Linked DNA regions of Coturnix japonica. The protein of the gene in region 2 interacts with the protein of the main gene of each other region in a pairwise test. Links are inferred from orthologs where the notes say so. Each region holds a gene or a part of one and is shown on either strand. Other genes may lie near its edges. The genes, in order: TMCC2 and IQUB.

Region 1 (3,822 bases), on a different chromosome or scaffold from region 2:
TATCAGTACATCTTTCTTTTCACTGGGAACACATCAGCTGCTGTTCTTGCTGTCTTTCCAAAGCTGGGTTCATTTTGGCTGTGTCCTGCTGCTGGCAGACACCACTTTGCTACCACACCTGGAAGAAGGGAGTGAAGATCCCATGATCTACATCACAATGAGGAAAATCAGTGTCACTAGTCCCTGCATCCTTCCTGCCACAGCTCTTCCAATGGAAAACTTGGGTACAGGAGAGGAAGAGGTGGTGCAGGTGACAATGGGTGACATTAATGTGATCTGAATTTTGCCAGGTCCACTTCTGTGCTCCTCAACTCAACTCCAGGCTTGGGATTCAGCACATCCCTGCCTTCTCCATCCCCATAAGGGGCACAAACCCCAGCAGCAGCAGGGAGGGATTTGTTCTCTGCAAACCCACTGCACCAAGAGCAGATCCACCCCCAGCTCTATGGCTCTGTGCCCTCCACCACCCCATAATATCCATACCTTATCAGCCAGGCTCTCACTGTCCTCAGTGAGCAGATAGACGGCCCCACTCTCAGCCAGCAGGATGGCAGTGTCAGTGGTGGAGGATGACCTGGGCCGCCCCTGGTGCTGATGCAGGATGGCGGTGAGGCTGCTGTCCTGGGGGGCTTTTCGGATGAGGTGTGGGCTGCCCTTCTGGGGGTCCAACGAGCCACTCTTGGCCCTCCGGCTGCCACTGTGAAGGCTGGTGCCACGCTTGATGGAGGGACGGGAGCGGATTTGCTGCAGCACCCGGTTGAAGGCAGTGGGACGTGCTGGGAGGTCGTGCAGGGAGACAGCATAGGAGACACGGTGCATCTCCGGGGAGCGCTCCTTCTCATCGGGGGATTCGTGGTCAGACAGTCCATAATGAGGTGGCAGTGAGTCCTGGGAGTTCTGGTGCTCACGCTCCCTCGACCGCCGGCGGCTGTGGAATAGGTGCTTCAAGCCGTGACCGAACATGGAGCCCTCAGACAGCTGCTGGATTTTCTGCAGGGAATGAGAGGAGAAAATGTCTTGTTATTGTCCAGAAGGATGGCTACAGGCACCTTGAGTGAGTGATAAAGATTGATGGCATGCAGAGCTGGGGACACGCAGGGTGGCTGCAGCTCCAGCAGCACCCATACAGAGCTCTGATAGAGCAGCAAAAGCATGCAGAAAGCCACACAAGCCTCCAAGCACCTCAACCCTAAGGGCGGCATGTTTTTACTAAGAGAAACCATGGTCCCCCCCCAGCCCCACAGCATCAGCCCCATCGTGTGGCCAGCAGGACTCAGTGGGGATGGCTGCCCTCAGGCTGGCTGTGATCTGGGTGCTGGAATAAATCTACTGCTGATTGTGGCCACGTAACTCCAGAGCAGTTCCCTACAGTCACTACAGTGCCTGGACAGCATCACCAGGAGATGATGTGGATCTATGGATGACGATCCTGGCCCTGCTGAGGTTCAGGGGCATTTTGCTGCTGATGTAGTGCAGCACAGACTTCTCCCCAGGGACTCTGGTTCCCGTAATTGGAGCACTGTCATTTACTCATGCTTGAAAACAAGTGTGCAGGGAGCTACTTATAGCCCCAGCAGCCACTTGGCAAAGGCACTGATTTCTGAGATATGACCTTTGGGATTCACAGATGGCCACAGGGCTTCATGTCCCTACAGGAGGGACCCCATCTCCTAAAGCCACAGACATGAAAGCCCAGTGTCCATAAGGGGCTCATTCCCATCACACCTGCAGCATGCACAGGGGATCACAGAACCATTAAGGCTGGGAAAGATCTCAATCCAACCTCAAACCATCCCACTGTGCCCATTGACCATAGCACCTCCTCCCTATCCCTGGGGACCACTCTCATATCCTAACATCCAACCTGAAATGGAGTGGTGTTACACAAGCACATCCCATGTCAACTAAACACTACAGGGAAAAGCTTGAATCTTTCCATAATGAAAACACATGCCCTCTTGGTTCATCCCCAAAAGTCTATAATGAATCCACCACGCTGGATTGCTACTTGGGGAAATGGTGATTTAAATTTCATTCTATTTATAGTGTCTCTATGGAAACGGAGGCAGCATTAGGTGGGTAATAACCATAAAGCAATGGATTTCTGTCACCAAGGGTACGACGTAGCCTCACACGCATGGATTTGCCCTTTAGGAGGTCCAGGTGGAAAGGAACAAGCAACACCTCCCCTTGAGGGTAAAAGAAACAAAAGGAAGGGAAAGGTGCAATAAAGACATTCGATAGCAGCTGCTTTGGGTGGGAGCCAAAGTATAAAGGAGGGGAAAAGAAAAGGAAAAGAGGCCAAAAGAAGGAAGCAGGATCCTGGCATTGCTCGGCTTTGGATGTAGGGCTTGCTGAACTATGGACCTGTTGGCAGTGAAGAGTGGTTCCTGTGAACATGCTGCTGCCCTGCAATAGTTATTGCTGATGTAAAAGCTCTGTTTTTCTTGTGTTGCTCCGGGATGTGATTGCACTTCTACAGCAGAGGCATTTTTCTGGCACGGAGCTGCTCGTGGCTCGGAACAGATTGTCTGCATGGGCTATTTTGGAACTGCCATTGCTTAATAACTGATGCAATGGATACGGAGGTTAATCTCACTGTGCAGACAGCTGTAAACCACCAAGATTATTACCAAAATACACATATACGTGTGTTTATTAACACAGGTAAGGTCTCCTAGTGATGCCAGGAACTGGTTTCTATGGACTGCAAGAAGAGCAGCTCCTGGATCACATCCCTATGCCAGTGGATCAGACCTGGGTTTGGCACAGAAGAACCTCTTGGTGCCTTACCAAAGGTTTTCCAGCTCTTTGATGGGCCCTGCCCTGACATCCAAACCCCATTTCTCAGGTTTCAGATGCTCACACAAGGCGGGGATCTTATCACCACGACCATAAAGCACAGTCTCACACCAGGTTCAATTATTATTACTATTTCTATTAATAATGTATACCCTTTGCATGCCCAGAGGCTCCAGCCAGTATTCTGCAGCCCATTGGAGGCACTGCATAGAGAGAGTGGAAAACTACCCCTCTGCATCCCACTGCATCCCATTGGATCCCACTGCATCCCATCCCATTGCATCCCATTGCATCCCTCCCATTGCATCCCATTGCATCCCTCCCATTGCATCCCATTGCATCCCATCCCATTGCATCCCATTTTATCCCGTCCCATCCCACTGCATCCCATTGGATCCCACTGCATCCCATCCCATAGCATCCCATTGCATCCCATCCCATTGCATCCCATCCCATTGCATCCCATTGCATCCCATTGCATCCCACTGCATCCCATTGCATCCCACTGCATCCCATTGCATGGCTGCTCCTATCCACCCCATTCCCATTGCATCCCATTGCATCCCATTGCATCCCATTGCATCCCATTGCATCCCATCCCATCCCATCCCATCCCATCCCATCCCATCCCATCCCATCCCATCCCATCCCATCCTAAAACACCCAGCACCTCAGGGCACCAAGGGAGGACAGAACCCTTCGACCACAAATATATAGATGTTCTTAAATGGCAAATAAAGCACTTCCCCCCCCCCACGCTTCTCCTCTTGGGGACAGGAGGAGAGAACAAACATGTGACAAGCGTTAGTCATGTCGCTCTGTGCACTACCAAAGTGCTGTAGTGATATGCAGCTCTGCCTGCAAGCAAATCTGAACCACTGGCTGTGGCTACCAGGTGCTGCTGCAGCTGGGGGTCTCCAGACCCCATATCTATAGGGCATGGAGAGGAGAATCACTGGATGACAGCATGGAGAACGTCAGCCTATGGCTGTTACCTCTGCATTGCTGTTATCAACTGCA
Region 2 (3,822 bases):
TTTAGACAGACCAATTTGTTCAATGCCACACAAAGTATGACAGGATTGAAAGATAAGTGGATAACTTGGGATTTCTTGAATCATGAGCTTAGGCTCCGTGAATAACACATGCTGCCAAATTCATGCTCAGTTTACCGTAGGAAAAATAGCTAGGATGGTTTAAGGTGGGTCCGGTAGCTTTGCAATGAATAAGGAATCCATTCCGTCAGTTCTGCTATAGGGACAGCAATGCAAAAACTGCCAAGGAACTAAACCATAAGCAAGCACTTAAGCTTAGGTAAAATGAGCTGTCCAAAGTGACAGTGCAAGTATTTTGCTTAAAAGGGGTCATTTTAAAAGAGCTACAGCAACGTTGGGGTTTTTTATAGGCCATCACATTGTTTTCCATTGTTTCATTTTTCCAAAAGGCCATATGTTAATTTGTTGTTACAGTTAGAAGATCATTCTTGTGCAAGATTTTAAACCAATTATTTGCAGCATTCACCTTATTTTGCCAGGGAAGTTTACAAGTGCTTGTCTGCAGACACCATCCCCTCTGCTAGGAGACACATTTCATGATGCCCTATAGGAGCTTAAAAAAATGTTCTTAAGATTTAATTTTCTTTCTTTTTTTTTTTTTTTCTTTCATTTAAGATTTTAAAAATATTTTATTATTTTATATTATCATTTATATTATTTTAAAATATTTGTCAAATTTTTATTGCAGTTACAGCAGTTCTATGAACAAAATACATTAGAGATGAGAAACAGCAGCAGAAGAGGGCATGGATGAAATGAAGAACCTCATTTACCTTTCATAAAATTCTGGGTAAAATTTAATCCATTATGAAAATTAAATGGCAGATGATGGATTTTAATTGCAATTCCTTCAAGACATTATTTTCACTGACTTAAATGCATCAGAACTAACTTAGTCTTCTGATCCTTAAAAGAAAACAATAGATGAATCTTGTTCTTCTTATTGACCTATATCAGGTCATCTTGTTCCTCTATCTCACATCATTACAGATGAATGGGAAAACAAACAAAAATACCTCCCAAATAACACAACTACTAGCATTGTTTTATAGGTTAATTTGTTGGGGTTTTTTTTGTTTTTTTTTTCCCCATAAAAAAAGCTTCTAAAATGAAATTAATTCCACTGCTTAGAAAAAGGAAAAGGAGATGGAAACAGAGATGATCCAAAAGGAAAAGAAACCTGCCAAAACCAGAAAACTCCTCAACTATGCTTTTTTTTTTTTTTTTTTTTGCTGACTTAAGAGTGCCCCCTTAAGAAAAACTTACATTCTAAAGCGTGGTACAGCAAGTCGAAATCTTCTTTGGTTTTAGGGTTCAGTTTTCTCTCCTGCTCCATTCTCAGTTTGTCTTCCTTCTCTTTTTTCTTCCTTAACTCTTCCTGTGCTTCCCATTCCAGCCTTAATCTCTTTTTTTCCTTCAGGTTTTCTACTAGTTTCGTAGCATACCAACGACGGAAATTTTTCTGTAACACTATTACCTACATATGACAAAAATATCACAGAACCATCAATTTAAAAACAAACAGCACAGCATTTTGTTCTTAACCATTATTTTTTAGCGTTTTAACTACATTTTCTAAGATCTGTCTTGTACTTAGACTAATTTAAATGCTTTACAAACAGTTATGTACTATTAGCCTAAACACTAGCCTGCTTACTCTTTTAGTAGGGATACTAGGGAGGTAGCCTAGATATATCACAGTAGGAAGGACAATACGCAGGCCTGAACTTCTTCTGCCAGCTGAGTTAGCACTTGCACCAAATGCACTTGAGTCAGGTTAATTTAATGCCATTTTGAGTTTATTAAGCATTATTCAGTGCAGAAGGCCGCCAAACACAAAACCATGCTCATAGAGCTAAACAGCCTCTAGAGATATCTTAACCTAACACTTCCCTTGGATATGTCTCCAGTTATTATTTCAGTATAGAACTACATTATGTTGTGCAAATCCACCAAACTGAATCAACACCAAGCTGATGTCTCCACTGTGCTCTATTCCTTGACACAGATGCACTCTAAAAAATAAATCATTTTAAAATATTATATATCAACAATACAAACATATTTCTGTGCTTTTATTGTACTGTGAAAAAAGTACATACAGAAAACTAACCAATACCCACGGTATTAAGACCTGAAGGCCAGTTTTAGTTATAAGAAGCTGCTGTGAAGAGAGAAAGTATTTTTTAATACATTTACAAAGTGTTTGCTTTTGAAGTGAAAACCAAAGAAAATCATTCTGCAGTAACATTTACAGCAGCATCGTAGGTTACCTACAGATACGTTACAGATGTCAGTGAGTAGCACTAATGATCACAGTAAAACTCACTCATAGTCCTGAGGAAACAGCTAACTACTTGGTTTCCATTCCTACAAGATGCTTATTGCTGTCAGCTAATGCTGACTAAATAAGAATTTCTTATAGAAAGTTATAACAAGATTTAAAAAGCATCTCGTCAGCCACATTAATACAATGATCCCACTTAAACACTTGGGAAAACCAACTTTTTATCTAGTTCGTAAGACTCAGGCTGCTTATTTTAAGCATTAAATTAGGAACTGGAGCATTTACAAAGCAGCATCCAAGCTAACATGATGCCAGGGAGTAAATAAGATAGGTGTGCAGTCACTGAATAGATGGTTTGCAAAGAGAAGTTCAGGACGCCTAAAGAGACATCCCCTGTACAATGACAATCCAGCATCTGTTGTCAGAATTGGCTACAATGAACATCTCACTGCACCAAAAGACTCTGAACCTAAAAAACCAGAAGGCCACAGCATCCATGTAGTTTGTTCTTAAATAATAAAGTAAATACACACAGAAAAGAACAACAACAACAAACAAACAGAAAAAAAACCATAAAATCCAGAAGTTGAATGTAAGTCACATAAATCCTGATCCAATATTCTAGCCATTATGTCATAGATGGCATTAAGCATGTAGTTCAGGTCCTCCTAAAAGAGATCAAGACAGTGCCAATGGCAGAAGTCTATTTTAATACCTAACAGTATAGGTAAAAGTTTAACTTAAGACAGAAGCCAGTAAATTCCCAATGATTAATATTTAAGAAACTGTACGGTCTCAAATGTTGCTGGAAACACCAATAGTGTAAATGTGCACACTCACACTTACCCTTATATCAGAAAGATATGGAAATGTGAACATTTTAAAATTCACTGTTAAAAATTACTCTCTGAACACCCACTAAATATTCAGATAATCTTCTTGCTACTTTTCTTTGCAGATACAGCTGCAAACCTATGAGAACTTACTGCGTCAAGCCGACGCTTGTGGTATTCCTCTGCTGTAAAGTATTTTCCAGGGGTTATTAGTTTGTCAGTCATGTTTGACACATACACGCCCCTTTTAGTCATCTGGGTTGATGTTGGATTTGTTGTTTGTTGATATCTATTTCTTTCTAAAACTGTCTAGAAAGAAAACACACGTCAAATTATCAGACAATACACAGATTGCTTTCTCATTACAAGAAGAACAAAAAATTAGCTATTAATAAACCCAAATCACACAACTCATTATATAAATCCATTAAATATATTCCATTGCATACATACTGTTGACTTATTTACTTCCTCATTCCTGTTTGAAATAATTGTGTAAACATTCTGTTGTTTGGCAAAATTAAATGTATCTTAAAAAGACACTATTGGACCATTACCTGTGTTTCTCTACAAAATACCGTAGTTCCTTTTTCAGGTCTTTTCTTGGGTACCGTTTGTGACCCTGCATTATGATATTCCACTCCCGTTACTTTGTTCTTAAATCCACCCAGAAACGGTTTACGA

What was found.
Region 1: the proteins of IQUB (region 2) and TMCC2 interact in a two-hybrid assay, tested with the Homo sapiens proteins (2 studies listed by BioGRID and IntAct). The two-hybrid records come from large-scale screens. The link is inferred for Coturnix japonica from reciprocal best matches to the Homo sapiens genes IQUB and TMCC2.

What each region holds. Positions count from the first base shown.
Region 1 is NC_029541.1:2,363,065-2,366,886, reverse strand, and holds part of TMCC2 (transmembrane and coiled-coil domains protein 2), read right to left. Parts: intron 991-3,822; coding exon 484-990; intron 1-483.
Region 2 is NC_029516.1:19,991,285-19,995,106, forward strand, and holds part of IQUB (IQ and ubiquitin-like domain-containing protein), read right to left. Parts: coding exon 3,696-3,822; intron 3,448-3,695; coding exon 3,292-3,447; intron 1,496-3,291; coding exon 1,285-1,495; intron 1-1,284. UniProt on the Homo sapiens protein: Adapter protein that anchors the radial spoke 1 (RS1) complex to the A microtubule of outer doublet microtubules in axonemes. The triple radial spokes (RS1, RS2 and RS3) are required to modulate beating of the sperm flagellum.